Linked DNA regions of Drosophila melanogaster. The protein of the gene in region 1 interacts with the protein of each later gene in a pairwise test. Each region holds a gene or a part of one and is shown in the gene's direction. Other genes may lie near its edges. The genes, in order: COX7C, stc and veil.

The links.
Region 2: the proteins of COX7C (region 1) and stc interact in a two-hybrid assay, tested with the Drosophila melanogaster proteins (one large-scale study listed by BioGRID).
Region 3: the proteins of COX7C (region 1) and veil interact in a two-hybrid assay, tested with the Drosophila melanogaster proteins (one large-scale study listed by BioGRID).

The regions. Positions count from the first base shown.
Region 1 is NT_033778.4:10,046,664-10,050,694, forward strand, and holds COX7C (cytochrome c oxidase subunit 7C), read left to right. Parts: upstream 1-1,689; 5' UTR 1,690-1,823; exon of another isoform or gene 1,824-1,956; intron 1,957-2,335; exon of another isoform or gene 2,336-2,558; intron 2,559-2,744; 5' UTR 2,745-2,897; coding exon 2,898-2,981; intron 2,982-3,089; coding exon 3,090-3,206; 3' UTR 3,207-3,236; exon of another isoform or gene 3,237-3,241; intron 3,242-3,296; 3' UTR 3,297-3,403; downstream 3,404-4,031. Other genes in the region: oys (oysgedart), read right to left, coding at 1,588-1,683; COX7CL (cytochrome c oxidase subunit 7C-like), read left to right, coding at 3,808-3,897, 3,959-4,031.
Region 2 is NT_033779.5:15,111,503-15,118,582, forward strand, and holds stc (shuttle craft), read left to right. Parts: upstream 1-1,977; 5' UTR 1,978-2,387; coding exon 2,388-2,732; intron 2,733-2,797; coding exon 2,798-4,251; intron 4,252-4,497; coding exon 4,498-5,565; intron 5,566-5,637; coding exon 5,638-5,989; intron 5,990-6,051; coding exon 6,052-6,153; 3' UTR 6,154-6,567; downstream 6,568-7,080. Other genes in the region: CG15269 (uncharacterized protein), read left to right, coding at 591-1,412. UniProt on the Drosophila melanogaster protein: Plays an essential role during the late stages of embryonic neurogenesis.
Region 3 is NT_033778.4:17,476,359-17,482,718, forward strand, and holds veil (veil), read left to right. Parts: upstream 1-1,799; 5' UTR 1,800-1,911; exon of another isoform or gene 1,912-2,030; 5' UTR 2,031-2,150; exon of another isoform or gene 2,151-3,458; 5' UTR 3,459-3,465; coding exon 3,466-3,701; exon of another isoform or gene 3,702-3,758; coding exon 3,759-3,909; exon of another isoform or gene 3,910-3,973; coding exon 3,974-4,230; exon of another isoform or gene 4,231-4,292; coding exon 4,293-4,587; exon of another isoform or gene 4,588-4,657; coding exon 4,658-4,955; exon of another isoform or gene 4,956-5,016; coding exon 5,017-5,579; 3' UTR 5,580-5,760; downstream 5,761-6,360. Other genes in the region: CG43110 (uncharacterized protein), read right to left, coding at 5,833-6,206, 6,261-6,360.

The DNA.
Region 1 (4,031 bases):
TAAACATGGGGCGATTCCACGGAACAATTGGCCAATTCACCGGCATTTGCGCAGTTGCGTGCTGCGGCCTTCGCTTCGAATTAGCGCAATAAAAAGCCACAAACAAATCAAATATCGGGCGTAGCGATTTCCAAAAAAGTGTCGCCCATCCACAAAACCCCATTACGAGGTACAGTCAACTCTGAGGCCGGTAAACGTTTGTTTTTAAATTTCTTATTCACATCTTAAGAAAACTCATTTTGATCGCTGATTGGTGAAATGTATTATATAAATGTAGTGTTTTTGTTTATGTTTTTATTGCTATACCCTCCTAAAGTACCTATTTTTTGCTGCGTTTACTGTTTTTTGCTCGACAGACTGGTTGACTCATGCGGTCTACATCAGCTGATTCGGAATAACAAGAAATCCGCTAACCAACACACCGACAAGCTGTTGATATTTGTTTGCAAACAAAAGAAGCGCTAAAAATTCAATTATCTGAGATGGAGAGGTTCATAGTTTGAACCAAGCCAAATTGAATTTAGTGCGGCTATTGATAGAGACAACGGCCCGATGGCGAACTAACACTGATTTTCCGTTAGTTGTGCTTTCCTTACATCGGAAGTTTGCATTAGGTCATCAGAATTGAAAAATGTGAGGATTACGTACGTGTATGTCGCTTGATTTGGGCCAGAAAATGCCTTGCTATGAATCACATTTCTATATGCCAGCTGCAGTTATGCAAATTACATTACGCCAAATGAATGGTGCACAAAAAGGGGGTTACAGGAGACAGTGGGGAAGTAAGTGTGGCTGTGCGACACTCTCTGCGAAGAGATTAATCAGTGCCCCCCTCTAGTACCCACCGCACTATTAAGTGATGCAAAGCATTTTAAATTTAGCGAAATCAACGGTGCGTCAGCCGCAACAATAGTAATTTCAAAATTTCACGGTACCCCGCTTGAGGGCTGGAAAATTCCACTGGTAGATAATTCTTGTCAGCTGATAAGGTCTTCATATAATTCAAGATGTCTTAATTAAATTAGAAAAACTACAAAGTGGGTAAAATATAAAGCACTTGCCAGATGCGATTAGCTGCCTTACGCTATTATTAACGTAAACAACTAAAGCTAATTCATAATTATATGTGATTGTGAAAATATCACTGCTTTAAGTTTGTTTTCTCATGATTTGCAAATAAACAATTTTTATATATTATAATAAATAAATTATTTAAATTAAATTATTAAATAAATAAATTTTCAGATAGTCTCTTATGTTAAAAGGTTCAATACATAGATCGTTCACTGTAAACTAAATCTTTGTTTGGGCAACCGGCATGGAATCTATTTACCTCCCGTTGCCAGGTAAGTTTTGCATAATTCCCGGAAAAATATGCCGTTCAGGCAGAAGTAAATCCCAGCTCTGTCCTTCAAGAAGTGCATTGTTCTCAGGAAGAGAGAGATTTGCTCAGCGGCTTTTATCCCGTATGATTGGCACACAACTAACACGCGTATACACACGCACACGTGCACACACCCGTTTCGAAAGATAACGGTAGGGGAGGAGGGGTCTTAAGAACCAGGGAGTAAATAGTGTGTTACTCACCAAGTCCACGGAGAGGCCCACCATATCCGCCAGCCAAGTGAAGGTCCGGCTGCCGTTGTAGCAATCATTCTCTATAAATTTCGGCGGTTCTAGCATTTTGCTGTCTGTTTTCTTTATCCACTCTTTTCTGTTGCGTTGTTGTTGCTGTCGGTCGTTCTGTTTCAGTGCTTCATTAGGAAAACTTCACGATTAACAGACACTTTTCCGGTATTTCAGGGAACCACCGAAAACACGAGGTACCCAATATGGGCGGTGGGGTGGACGCGGGGTGTTTACTTATAATTTTGTGCAATAATTTTGAACGTTTGTCTGTTTGGATCGAGTCTACCGTACCCGTGCGTATAAATGAAATATTCGAAACGCAATAGAGATGAGCGCTCGGCGTGTTTGATGGGGCCAGCGATGGCCCTAGTTGCCGATAGTTTTTGACAAGATAACAGAGCGCTTAGTGTCTGTTAAGCCCCTGAATAGATAAAATCGAATACCCCTAATACCGTGTCAAACTCGCTCGTTATTATAAATTAACAACAATTCGCGTGGGCGTAGTTGGAAGCAAATTAACGTAAAATTCTTTTTATTATTATTAATTTTAAATGATTTCAAATAAATATATAAATAGATAACATTCAAATTTTATTTACGTTAAAATAAAAACACGGCACTGTTATATATATTTATTTTATATAAAGGGAAAATATTTCTAAAATTTAAGAGGAAAATGAAACAAATTTTTACTAATTATATTTAGCATGCTGTGTACGGGACATTACGGATGGCAGTCATTTAGAAAAAGGACACATCACTCGAGAGAAACGAATAAAATTTAATAGTTTTTAAAAGCAGTTAAGAATTTAAAAATTTACATTTAAATGGATTGGGATTTGGTTTGAGGTTTGAAAATAGTTATGTAGTGCACCGGGTGCCCAAGTGGTGTATTTGAAGTACCTACGTTGCACCTAATAAATGAACTAGTAAGTACCAGCAATGAAGGAATGACTACGTTTTTCACCAGTACTTATAAAAATATTAAATAAATAAAAACGAAATACTTACGAAGTATTTAAGCCGTATAAATGTTAGTCAAGCGATACCTAGGAAATTCTTATATTACATTTTACAAATTTATTTTTTTTAAATAAAATGTATTTTTTGTGAAGCCAAAGGCAAAGTTAACAGAAACCGCATTAACGTTAACGTAACGTAATCAGCAGAGCTGCACGGCAGCTATCGACCATTTGTCATCTCTATTCTGCGCACCCACTGCGAACTTTATTTTCCTGGAATTATTATCAAATAAGTCAAATTGCGAGATGTTGGGCCGCAGCAGTGTGATTGCACGCAACTTTTCCCAGTCGATGGTTCGCTTTAGCGGACATGGTGGAGTTCCCGGAGAGGTGAGTCCCTAAAAATGGGCCCATTGCGGGTTACATAATTTGCACGACTCGCATAGGATTGGGAGGAAAATCAATTCTAACACCGGAAAACACCTCATTCTCATGCAGAATCTTCCCTTCGGGCTGACGAACAAGTACCGCATCACCGCCCTGTTCACCATCGGCTGTGTCTTGGGCTTCGGATCGCCCTTCCTGATCGTCAGGCACCAACTGCTCAAGAAGTAAGGGGCTCCCCTGGCGACAGCAACAACAAATGTAAGGTTAGTTTATTGGTTATATTCGGTTTGCATTTTAATATAAATATTCACTTTTCAGATGTAGCGTTATCTGCTGAGTTGGCCGGCAGGCCATTACAGTGTGTTACAGCTTAAATTTAAGTAAAAAGTGGAAACGAAATAAAGTTACCCGTGACCGTAGAACCGATTGGTGGATGTTTTCTTTAAAAGCTGGCAAGACGGCTTATGTGGAACAACAGTTTGTTTGGTATTGGCACTTGTAAATGCATCCACGCTTATTTTTAAAGCTTTTAGTATCAATATCTTGTGGCTAAACTATGGAAACTGTGCTCGCAAATAACATGGACTTGGTAGAACGACGTCAGAAACCGATGTACACGCAAAGTTGCCAACTGGAAGGAATATTTCTAGTAATGGTGAAGTTTTAAGGGTTCCCTTAAGTAGGCTTGCCTATAAAGATATATGTCAGGAAATTTTTCGAAAAGCCAGTAACTTTCATTCGTTCGCTAGAAATCTGGGAGTAACTTCTCACTCGCAAGCAATCAAATAATTTCTTATTCCCGTCTCAACAAACGGATTAAAATTTACTCATGTGGCCCACACTTCGTAAACCCATTGGCAAGTTTAGCGGGCCGCTGATGCGTTATGGGAGTGGATATCCAGGCGGCTCTCCTGGGGCGGTAGTTAATCCAAGGTCAACACGCAGCTAACCATTCTAAGAACTTACAATTTCCCTCACAGAACTTACCCTTTGGCTTGGATAGTCCAATGCGTTTCACACTATTTTACCTAATTGCGGGAGTCGTGGGCTTTG
Region 2 (7,080 bases), on another chromosome or scaffold:
GGAGTCGGCCGAAAACAGAAACAGAAGCGGGCAAAAAAGAGAGAACTGGTTTTACGCATGGGTGCAGCTACAAGATACGTTAGAAAGGGCCAGACGCCGAGCGAGAGGTAATCACAAAATGGCCACTTTGGGAAAGAACACCAATTTCAGTAGCTAACTGAAGCAAGCCACATTTGAAGTTGCAACAAAATTATTACAAACAATGGGGAACATTCGAATGTGTAACCATGGTATTTTTTGCATTTCTGGCTTATTTTGTATAAGTATAAATGTGTCCAAAGCTCAGTTTTCAGTAACTTTATATTCGAAATCTTCCAATCCTCACTAGAACTTATAGAATAAGGTATTAATATTAGGACCTAATTAAAATGTTGCTAAACATACTCATCTTGAAAGCCTCCCTTCCAAAAACTAACTAACTAACGAACAGTTTGTAGAAAATCGCTGTTTTATGAATTTCACAACAGATTTTCACTACCTCAGGTTTTTTATTAAAATTTTAAATCTCTTACTATTGCTACAATATTACTATTGCTAAGCTAATGTATCTTATTTATTTATCTTATTTGTCTATTATGTTCTTATTTCAGGCTCATGAAAAGACGCACAAATCGCCGCGTTACGAGTGTGCGGATTGTGGAAAGGGTTTCTCCCAGCTGCGAAATTACAAATATCACCTGTCCGTTCACCGAGGAACCAAGGAGTTTGCCGCCGAGTGTCCCGAATGTGGCAAGACATTCAACGATAAGGGATATTTGAGCAGTCACCTAAAGATTCACCGGAACCGGAAGGAGTACGAGTGTCCTTACTGTCCCAAATCGTTCAATCAGCGTGTGGCCTTCAATATGCATGTCCGGATTCATACCGGCGTGAAACCCCACAAATGCAACGAGTGCGGAAAGAGATTTTCGCGTAAAATGCTGCTCAAACAGCACATGAGGACGCACAGTGGTGAGAAACCGTATCAGTGCTCCGTGTGCGGCAAGTCCTTTGCCGATCGCAGCAACATGACCCTGCACCATCGCCTCCACTCGGGAATCAAGCCCTTCAGCTGCCCCCTGTGCCCCAAAGCCTTCACCAAAAAGCATCACCTAAAGACGCATCTGAATTACCATACAGGCTGCAAGCCGTATGTCTGCCCACATCCCAACTGCAATCAGGCATTCACCCAGTCGAGCAATATGCGAACCCACGCTAAGAAGTGTCAGTACCGTCCGTTGGATGGACTCACGGTCACATCATCCGCACTTCCAGTACCGGGAAAACAACAAACAGGTCCACCGCCCACTTTGGCCATGGCCATGGCTCAAACATTTCAAATGCCGCCACCTCCTGGAGTTCTAACACCTGGATCTGGTCCATCCCAACCGCCGAGTCAGCAAACCCTTCTCAGCAATCTCAGGACATTCTAAATGGGTGGAATCGTTGTGCCCGGCCAGTTTCAACCAAATTTGTGGCAATTACAAAGTGCAGTACTTCCACTGTTGTTATTCAATTTACATTTATTTTCAAGCAATAATTTTGCTAGAAATTAAATTAGGAATAGACATTAATTATTATTAAAATAGGCATATATATTGGCCAGTCAATAAAGTATAATATCAAATACAAAAGGATTCCAGGATTCTAGAAATAATATTTTGGATTGGAGATATGATTGGGAGTCCAACTAGGTAATTTCGCTTATAATCAGATAACGCAGCCTTATTTAATTCAAATCTTCTAGTGACAAAAATTAAAAGATGTATGTTTTTTTAGTAAACAAATGAACGAACCGTTGCAGTACATTTAACATATTTAAAAGTGCGCTCTCACTCAGCCAGATGGCGCCACCTGATAGTTTATTACCACTGTAGGTGTGTTGAGTAACTAAACGAAATCTTGCTGTTAAATTGTATTCACAGCTGTCCTAAAACCGAGTTGGCAGCCCTTTTCCCCTCAAAAATCGAAAGTCTGTTAATATATCGATAAGTCAAGGCAATTGTCAGTGGTACCGTTTCGTCTGGTATGACCGTGTTGTGAAATTTTGTTAGAAATTTACAATATAAGCGAGCATAAAAAACGCAGGAAAAGCGCAAAAAAATCAGTAAAACGTGCCTGCGGACCCAGGCTGCGGTGCGTCCAGTTGGCCGTAGAAAGCCTTTACCAAATTCGATCGAACTGAGAATTCGATTCGGTTAACTTCTGCATTGGGCTCAATTTCACCATTGCACACGTGTCTGGAGCTTTTCCTGGGTTCGGTCACCTCCTCCTCGGATTGCGGACGATCCCGTGGTAGCGCTGGGAAATGCCCAGCAGAGGACGGCGGGCAGTTCGAGATTGTTCCGGCAAAGAAGCAGGCGCAACTGCAACAGACGCTGGTCACCAACGACAGCACCGGACTCTCAATGGCTGAGTACTGGCAGCAGTTGACCAACGGCGCCGGAGAAGCGGGACCCGGCAATGAGTCATCCGCCATGGCAGACTGCAACGGAGGTCACGAATCGGCGGCAGTGGGTGGTTCCTGCAACAGGCACAGCAACAACAATTACGTGAACTTCAATCAGTTCATTATGCAGCACAATCTGGGTGGAGGAGCGCCCTCGAATGCCACCAGCACTATGCAACATCCGGTGGGCAGCAGCTACACTAACTTCTCCCTGGGCGGCGGTGGAGGAGCCTTTGGACTGAACCCACCAGTGGCATCCGCGAGTACCAGCCACTTTGCAAATGTGAGTCATCAATCTCCGAATGTATGTTTCGATATATTAGAACTTAGGTTTAGTCCTAATGAATCAACTAATAAATCACAAAACAGTTTTACTCGCAGGCCATGATCCCAACCTATCAAAATGGCGATGGCATCGCTAGAGTCACCGTCACCAGCAGCTATGGGTCGGTCAATCCGAGCAACAGCAATTTTTCGAGTTTTTACACACCTTTTGGCAATAATCCGTTTGACTTCAGCGCTTCCAAGCTGCAGGCCTCGGCTCCGGAATTCGTGCCCAATTTCGCCAAGCTGAGTCTAGAAGAGACACCGGCAGCCGCCACTACGAACGGAAACAGCACTGCCAGCCTAGAGACTGCCATAAATGAGACGAGACCTAGGACTCTGCGAGCCCAAGAACCAGCTGAACGAGGAGCTAACAACCAATGCTCGAACCATAATTACGAACGGGAGCGTGAGCGGGAACGTGACCGGGACCGGGACAGGGAAAGAGACCGGGACAGAGACAGGGACAGAGACCGGGACAGAGACCGGGACAGGGACAGGGACTCTAGACCCGGAAATACGCGACAACAACGCCGCTCCGACTATCGGGACGATCGGGAGGACCGGTACGAAAGAAGCGATCGTAGGAGGCCGCAGAAGCAGCAACGCTACGACAATCATCGCAGCAACAAACGCAGGGATGACTGGAATCGCAACAGGGACCGCATCAACGGCTTTCCCAGGGCCGTTGACGATTTGGACACGAGCAATGAGAGCGCACACCCATCGCCCGAAAAGCAGTCGCAACTGCAGCAAATCTCCCCAAGGCGAGGTCCACCGCTACCACCGGCGGATAACGAAAAACTATCGCAGCGAGAGAAACTGGTTCGCGACATCGAACAGCGCCGATTGGAGTGCCTTGTATGCGTGGAGGCGATCAAGTCGCACCAGCCAACCTGGTCGTGCAGGAACTGCTATCACATGCTGCACCTTAAGTGCACCATCACCTGGGCGAGTAGCTCCAAGTCCGAGGTGGGCTGGCGTTGTCCAGCTTGCCAGAATGTGCTGCAGGATTTGCCACGCGACTATCTCTGCTTTTGCGGCAAACTGAAAAACCCGCCGGTATCACGGACCGAATTGGCCCACAGCTGTGGCGAGGTCTGCTGCCGAATTGAGGGTTGTAGCCATGCCTGCACTCTGCTCTGTCACCCAGGCCCTTGTCCGCCGTGCCAGGCCAACGTGGTGCGCAGCTGTGGATGTGGACGCAGCACAAAAACGATGCAGTGCGCCATGAAGGAAGAGGTGCTCTGCGGCGAGATCTGCGACAAGCTGCTTAACTGTGGCGAGCATCGCTGCCAGGCGGAGTGCCACTCGGGCAAGTGCGCGGCGTGTTCCGAGCAAGTGGTGCAGCAGTGCCACTGCGGCAAGCAGGAGCGCAAGGTGCCATGCACGCGAGAATCGCAGGACAAACGCACCTATTCGTGCAAGGACAGCTGCGGTCAACCGCTTCCCTGCGGCCACCACAAGTGCAAGGACTCCTGCCACGCGGGAAGTTGTAGGTAAGAATAACTGATTCAACTCATTTATAGTATTGGTTTCATTTAAACCAATAACCCCAAAAAACGGCTCAAACTCGAAAATTGTGTTAGGTTTCTAAAATATGTGCATTAACATTAACACAAAACATCAGAATTGAATTTGGTATGAACCAATTTTATGCTAAATTATTCAGCGTTTGCAATCGTGTCTTTGTGCAGAGTACTAAGAAACTCATACAATTAAACTGATAATATGATTCTTTTCAGACCCTGCAAGCTGAGTCCCGAGCAGATAACAAGTTGTCCTTGTGGCAAAATGCCTGTACCGGCTGGCCAGCGTTCAAGCTGCCTGGACCCGATTCCCACATGCGAGGGCATCTGCTCTAGGACATTACGTTGTGGAAAGCCAGCGCATCCGCATCAATGCGGAAGCAAATGTCACTTGGGCCAGTGCCCTCCATGTCCCAAGCAGACCGGTGTAAAGTGTCGTTGCGGCCACATGGACCAAATGATAAAGTGTCGGCAGCTATGTAACAGAGCGGACGACGCCCGCTGCAAGCGACGTTGCACCAAGAAGCGCAGCTGTGGAAAGCACAAGTGCAACGTTGAGTGCTGCATCGATATAGACCACGACTGTCCACTGCCATGTAATCGAACCCTCAGTTGTGGCAAACACAAGTGCGATCAGCCGTGTCACCGCGGCAATTGTCCGCCATGCTACCGCAGCAGTTTCGAAGAGCTCTATTGCGAGTGTGGTGCCGAAGTGATCTATCCACCAGTGCCGTGTGGCACCAAGAAGCCAATCTGCAAGCTTCCTTGCTCGCGCATTCATCCATGCGATCATCCGCCGCAGCACAACTGCCATTCGGGCCCCACCTGTCCGCCCTGCATGATTTTCACGACGAAATTGTGTCACGGCAACCACGAGCTGCGCAAGACCATTCCCTGCTCGCAGCCCAACTTTAGCTGTGGCATGGCCTGTGGCAAGCCGTTGCCGTGTGGCGGGCACAAGTGTATAAAGCCGTGTCACGAGGGCCCCTGTCAGTCTGCCGGCGAGATATGCCGGCAGAGCTGCACCAAGCCACGACCGACCTGTGGTCATAAGTGTGCAGCTGCCTGTCACGAGGGAGCCTGTCCGGAAACGCCTTGCAAGGAGCTGGTGGAGGTGCAGTGCGAGTGCGGCAACCGAAAGCAGAACCGCAGCTGCCAGGAACTAGCCAGGGAGCACAGTCGTATAGCCACCATCCAGCTGGCCTCGTCCATGGCAGAGATGTCACGCGGCAACTACATGGAGCTCAGCGAAATCTTGGCTCCAGCCAAGAAATCTAATAAAACGTGAGTGGTGGTGTCTATTCAGCCGAATTTAAGTTTTCACTAGTATTAATATACGTAACATTTTGTCTTTAGTTTGGATTGCAACGACGAATGTCGTCTACTGGAGAGGAATCGTCGTCTTGCCGCGGCCCTGTCTTCTGGAAATTCCGATACAAAGCAAAAGTGTCTAACCAAGTACTCGGAGTTTGTTCGTGGCTTCGCAAAGAAGAACCCAGCGCTGACCAAGAGCGTTTACGAGACGTTGACCGACCTGGTAAAGTTGGCCAAGGAAAGCAAGCAACGGTCGAGGAGCCACTCTTTCCCCACCATGAACCGCGAAAAGAGGCAGCTGGTGCACGAGTTGTGCGAGGTATTTGGGATTGAATCGGTTTCCTATGACAAGGAGCCAAATCGCAATGTTGTTGCCACGGCCCATAAGGATAGGGTGAGTTCAACTTTGTAAAACACCAACTGAATCGCGTACTTATTTGGCTTAACTATTTGCAGTGCTGGTTCCCCGCCACGAGCATCATGGAAGTGCTGGCTCGTGAGTCCGGACAACGCCGTGTCCCGGTGCCCAGTAACAATGCTTGGGGATTGAAGAAGTAGATCAAATCCGTGTGGTATACAGAGATATTAAATATATTAAATCGTTGGCGCTGGAAAATAATAGTTAAAAATGGATAGATAATGCAAATGGAAGCCTGGATGTGGAAGACTTATTGATTGAACCTAAATGAGGAAAATTTTGTGGATGCGCTGCGAGGACAATACAGAAGGATAATTGCCGTTACCACGTATATTTTGTAAATTATAACAAATGTTAGTTGAACCCTAGAATGCTAAATGTTGAATACTTGAATATGGAGTGAACTGGATAAGCAGGCACAAATGTGAAGAATCATGTTAACCAATCTGTTGTACGATGAATTTATCCAAAAGCGAAACCTTCTGGCCACGTTGCATCTAAATACAAAGGAAAGCGATAGATGAGAAGGATAAATAAATGAGTAAATAGAGCAGAGGGCAATTATTGTGTTTTTTGTTTTAATTAATTTATTTCATGGGAGAAATTATGGATAAAAGGTCTTATAAACTTAATTTCAAATTTATGTCGCGATGGAACACAATGTCTTGTATGTTGCAGCAATTAGCTTTCAACAGTGGTCAGTATTCAGTGCTGTAAGTCGTTGTTATTTAACGGTCGCTTGTTTCAAACTGAAGTAATTTTGGAATTTACTTCGCTTAGAACAGAAATAATTTCAAATTTAAAATATAAATATATAGGACGTCATGCTTCACCATTAGATAATTAAAGTGGCGCGGAAATGAAAACAACCCAAGTGGAGGTGCTCAAGGGATATTCCACCTGCTGATCCATCCTGGTAGTCGAGGAAACTAGCAAACATCCCCCGGACTGCCCACAAGCCGAACTCGTTGCCATCTCGTTTCGGGCTATGGGCACAGGCCTCTAATTTGTTGCCATTGCCGTTGCCATTTTCACGAAAAACAATAAGCGGCGCCTGGGGAATAATG
Region 3 (6,360 bases), 7.4 Mb from region 1:
CTATCTCTCTCTCTCTCTCTCTTTCTCTGCCGCTGCAGCAGCCGCGCTCCGAATATCCTCCCTTCCTCCGTGCATCCGTCCTGCACCCCATCCCCCCGGGATCACAGGCGCGCCCTGCTCGTCCTTTCCGACCTTTCAGTTGTTGTTGTCCCGTGTCCGTTTCCTTTCGGTGCGGCATAGCCGATTCCCAAGTTACCTTCCTATGTCCTTTTTTTTAATAGGGTTGCATTGAAGGGTGTGTGCGAAAATAAAGCATTTTAATCAAATTTTCTTTTTTTTACATTTTAAAGCAGACATAAATAAATTATCAATACCTTACAATCTTGGGTAATCAAGTTTTGAGCGTATAAATTTTCATGAATTTTTTTTGAATGTATAAGTTGTCAATTTAATGACGAATTAACTTAATTGCTACAAATAAACGAATCTGGACTTTTAATTCAGTTGATTTCAAATGAGTTTCGATCTGGTTTTAGCGAACAACGACCGATATATGTAATTGCTTAAATTGCTTTTCTTGGCAAAACGTGCACTGCTGACGCACTTAAAGAATAAGTTATTCAGGTTAGACAGTTAAGCTATTTAGGTAATATTTAACGTATCCGTTAAGCATTGTATTCTACCAATAAGCTACCTAAAATTTTGTTTGTGAACTTTGATCACTTGAACTTTGATCACGATGCTTCTTTACGAATATAGATTTTCGTATTTGCATACAAAATTCGTTTAATGTGCATATTTGTAGGAGATTCCCCAGTGCGGTATGCCCGACCATGATAAGCATTTGCAGCTGGCACGCTTCACATTCATCTCTTCGATCGGCACTTCCCCTGCGAGTTAGTTTGACCTGCCACTGCAATGATAAGTGCACACCTAAAAGCACTGCGAGAAATTTTCGAATTTCGTTGTCATGGAAATTGGTATGCGGTATGAGTTAGTTTGAACGAAATCACGTTTACCTCCGTTGGCATGGAGAACCAATTCTTATCGGCTTTATTGCCGATTGTTAACGTAGTAAAGGTGGAGTGGTCCCAAAATGCTAATCGATAATGCTGTCAAAATTTGGAATGAACATAATTCGCTTTATGGTTTATGTCCGCGCATTGTGTAATCATGACCATAATTTAAAATAAAGGGATTTATATTTTGGGTTTGTTGGAAGGGGGAAGGGGGGAGTGCTGAAATATAAGATGACACCATAAATGAAGAATCTCCTGTCCCAAGAAAAAAAAAAAGAAACAATCTCATTGATAGCAATAAATGTTTATTTATGGTCAAGGAAATTGGGCATTATTCGATTTATTTGGGGCTGCGAATTTGACACTATCTCAGCGAATTGTTGTTTCGCAATTTCGGAAGGGGCATTTAAATAATCACGCCCAGACGTCAAGTCTGTGAACTTATGATATGGATGGATTGGATATTTGCATTTAGTATGTCGGCAATGGTGTGTGTACACATTATTTACTTGATAAGCACTTGATGTTGTTAAGGGCGTATCAAAATTGAATCATATATATTATTTTTATCTCATTTTTATCGTACACTTGACATTGTGTAATATTGCGTGCTGGTTTTCCTCTCCCCATTTCAGTTAAACTTGGCCGAAGCATCTTCTATTTATTTTCGAACCAACTCAATTGCTGTTGTATCTTGTATCTTTCGGATATATTTAGGCGACATCTCGAGCAGGAAAGTTGTACCTTTCCCTTTCGTTTTTGAGTTATTTGCCCGAACACAGGCAGCAAATAGTAAATAGCAAATACATTATCCACAGCCGCAGCTGTCGTGTGTCTATTGAGCCATTATACATACTATATGATTGAACAGTTTGAGAAGCACGCGACAAGTGGCAGCGGATAATTTGGGGATGAACTGTGGCCCAAAACCCGGCAATTGTGATCATTTCGTGTGGGTAGAACTTCGCAGTAAACTCATAAAGTAATTTACGCGGCTGTTGAGTGAAATTCATCTTTCCAATATTTATCTATCCTTCCATTTTGGCGGCCATAAATCTGTGCAACAAGCAGGCCTCATTGTTCATCAATCGAATGTGCCTGAAAGTTCGCAGAAGACACTTGCTTGGAATTTTCGGGAAATTAATAACAAAGATCGGCTTACTCGGCACAATCGGCGGACTGTTGTTAATGGTGCGTCAATAAACATGTACAGTAAATACTCTAAATATAGGTAAGCAACCATGTTGCATATAATTTCGTGACAGTGAAAATGTTTTACTATGAAACAAAAGTGCAAATATTAATTACAGATATAGATATTCCAAAAATATCCTTTCGAATGCGTGATCTTTGATTCATGTGTTTAGATCACTTACAAGTAAATGCTGTTTGATGCTAGAGTTACGCCGAATGTAAATTCTCCGTAGCGAGCGTGCACTGTATATATTTTTTAGTACAATCCATATTTCGGCGTGGGAATGTCACGTTGTGTTTAGACAACTGTTGGGCCAACTACCTGCCTCTGTCTGAGTGGCTATGAGTCAGATAAATATATAGCCAATTCACCATTATCTGATCTATAACCGACGATTATCGCGCGATATGTCTGCTTCCGATGGCTTCCAAAACATCGAAATACAATGGGGTAATGCAGAAAGAGCATCGCATTGTCATTCTCAGCCAATTTAACCCGCAATCGCAATACGAGGCCTTATCGTAATCAGTCCGCTTCGCGAGGCAGTAAATTTCGGTTTTGCTGTTTAAGGTACTCGGCTTTATGTTTTCGGCTAATAACGGTTCTCGCACTCTCAGCCAATTTGGTGGGTCAGTCAGTTAGCCCGCGGACCGTGCGACGAGTGCATGTGAGTAGCGATCGTTGGTATTTGGTAATTCGTTGCTTCTGAAGTAACATCGATCGGGCCTTTTTGAGCCGAGTTAGCTTTTAGGCCAATGCCATGAGCAAGCTGAAGTTCGAGCTCGTTTCCGAGTTCAATCGAAAACCAGTTGACCGAGTGAAGTGGACCGCGATGGCAGAAATTTGTCGAGCAGAATGTGCTGGGGATTTGTGTGTTTTTTTTTTGCACACGCAAAGTGATAAGCGGCGATTAGATTTAAAACACCCAATAAACTATAAATTGCGATTTCTGCGCGCTCGTGATTGATAAATATTTGCCTCTCAGCAGTGGATTGGTGATAAGGTCGAAAAGGACCTTCAACAGTCTAAGTAGAAAATCTGGTTAACAACGTTTGAAGTGTTTCCATTACATGTGTAAAACCATTCGGATAAGAAAACGAACTAATACTTAAAACACGCTTCATTAAGTGGCAGTGCATTAATTTTTTATTAAAATTTTTAGATTTTCATGAGTGCAAAAACAATGATTATGACAAACCAGTTGCCGTGCGCGAATCAGTGCTTATTCACCGAAGATTATCCACCCACATTTCATCCCTTCGTGTGTGATAACTTATCAGCGATTGTTGTGTTTATTGTTCCAGCACCAAAATGTTACCTGCCCGTGGTCTCCTTATCGGATCATGCTGCCTACTGGCTCTACTGATTCATCCTGTGCAGCCGAATCCCATTGCACCCCGGGCGGAAGTTGCCGCCGAGTTCATCATTCTGCACAACAATGACATGCACGCCCGATTCGAGCAGACGAGTGTGACCAGTGGCACCTGCTCCAAGGAGGAGGCCAATACGGATCAGTGCTACGGAGGATTCGCCAGGGTGGCATACGAGTAAGTGCGGTCAGTTTGCCTAGAGTTCAACTATTCATGCTGATGAACTTCAACTAGGGTGCGAAAGTATCGCAAGGAGGCGGAGGAGGGTGGAACTCCAGTGTTTTATCTCAATGCAGGTGACACCTATACCGGAACTGCTTGGTTCACCGTCTATAAGGACAAGATCGCCAGTGCTTTCCTCAACAAGCTATCGCCAGATGCTATTGTAACTATTATTTTATTGTTTTCCGCATTCTCTTACTATATTTCATCAATATACCTTTCAATAGTCTCTGGGCAACCATGAGTTTGATCAGAATGTTGAGGGTTTGGTGCCCTTCCTAAATGCCGTGGAATTCCCTGTTTTGGCCTGTAATCTGAACCTCACCGATGTTCCGGAAATGGCGGCTGCCAAGCAGCTGGCCAACTCGACGATCCTCGAGAGAAATGGGGTGAAGGTTGGCGTTATCGGTTACCTTACGCCCGATACCAAGGTGCTTGCCTTTCGGAACAAAGTGGAGTACGAGGAGGAAATCGTGTCCATCAAGTGGGTATAGCTCAAATCCGCTGGAGAGCAAGGATGTTAATGCATGTTCATTTATTCCGCAGTGCGGAGGCCGCAAAGCTAAAGGCTCAAGGCATCAATATCATCATCGCTTTGGGTCACTCTGGATACCAAAAGGATCAGGAGATAGCCATGAACTGCCCGGAGGTGGACATAGTCATTGGTGGCCATTCGCACACATTCTTAGATGCCAATCAGCCGGTGGCCGATCCCACGGACTCTGATCCGGAGGCGGTTCGAGGTCCCTATCCCACCACAGTGGTGCAGGCGAGCGGCAAGAAGGTACCAGTGGTTCAGGCATACGCGTATACCAAGTATCTCGGAAAGATTCATGTTCAGGTAAGCACTATATATTATCTGGATTATTATTAAAGAAATTTGAATATAATTGTAATACGAATATTTCCAGTTTGATGCCGAGGGAAATCTGATCGAGTTTGATGGCGCTCCCATTTTGCTGAATGCCTCTGTAGCTCAGGAGCAGGATCTCCTGGATTTGCTAGACGAATACCGCCCCAAGCTGGACGAGCTGGAGAACACGGTTCTGGGTTACACTAAGGTGTTTCTCGAGGGCGGCAACATCTGCCGCATGAGGGAGTGCAACCTTGGCAACTTGGTGACAGATGCCATGATCTATAGTCGCGTGTTGGAAAACAAGGGCGGCGAATTCTGGACAGATACTGCGATTGCTTTTATGCAGGGAGGAGGTGTGTTTTATTTGGTGTCATTAGAGAAATTCGAAATTACGTGGATCTACATATTTTATAGGAATCCGTGGCTCCGTCGATAAGAAGGATGATGGAGTCATCAATGGCGCCACCCTCTTAGCCGTTCTTCCGTTCGAGAATAATCTGTACGTGACAAGGATTCTCGGAAGCACCCTTCTGGCTGCCCTGGAACACTCCGCGTCTGTGAGGTTGCAGGACTCCAATGGTGGATTCCTGCAGATGTCCGGACTGCGTGTGGTGTACAACTACAACAATGAGCAGGGCAAGCGAGTGGTTTCCGCACAGGCCCTATGCGCCAGCTGCGCCGTGCCCACGTACAAGAGCATCAATGAGACGGCCCTGTACCAAGTGATCGTGCCCCAGTTCCTGCTGGAAGGCGGCGATGGCTACACTCTGATCGAGGAGTCGGATCCCTTCACCGAGAGCATGCAGCGAAACGATCTGAATGCTACCATGGAGTACCTGAAGCAGCGCCATTTCGTGTATCCCGAGATCGAGGAACGAATTGTGATTCACGAGAAGGCTGACACCGGATCGGCGTCTGGTATTGTGGCCTCCATCTCCTTGCTTCTGCTCTCTTCCCTGCTAACTAGATTCATCTAGTGGCACTTTCAGCTTCTCATTTCAGAACCCCAATTCATAAATAAGCTTATTAATGCGATTGCATTTTTTCGACTTAAAGAGTCAAGTGTGATTGGTGATAAGTTTGCCCTTAATTAATATAATATATGCTTGTTTCACACACAAACTTAAACTAAATAGCTAATAAATGTTGTGAGAACTGAAATGATATTGTGTTTAAATTTATTTACTGCTTGTGTAGTTTTCGATTAAATCGCCCGATAATCCAGATACCCTATTCATTCTGATTTACTATTTTCGAGATCCATTCTGCATTTGCCATAGCACTGGTTATTACGTATACGTCATTGTGCGAAACGTCTACCAAGCCCAATAGAACGAAATGGACCATGCCCGAAACATTCAATATTTTTTTAACCAATATATCGCCAGCTGTACCAAATTGCTTAAGCGCATTTGGTTGGAAAGTGTTTTTCACACAAAACTGATTCTGTTCGATATTTCTCCTCAACTCAAGTTCACACAACTGCCAATTAAGGCTTTGCACATTTATAACGTAATTGCTTAAGCCATATTGACCTGTGCCAGTGATTCTTAAAGAACCAGCGATGTTTGCAGTTTCCAGAATGCAGATCGGTCTCAATGCACCTGCAACAGAAAATCACTGTAATGTCTCAGCCTATGTTGTCCAACTAATTTTACCTCTGTTTTCCAACCGACGCGTCAGGCTAATCAGTGATATGTTAATGTCCGCAAACGGCTTAAAAATCGCGCTAGCTTGGAATTCCATACCCATCACAAC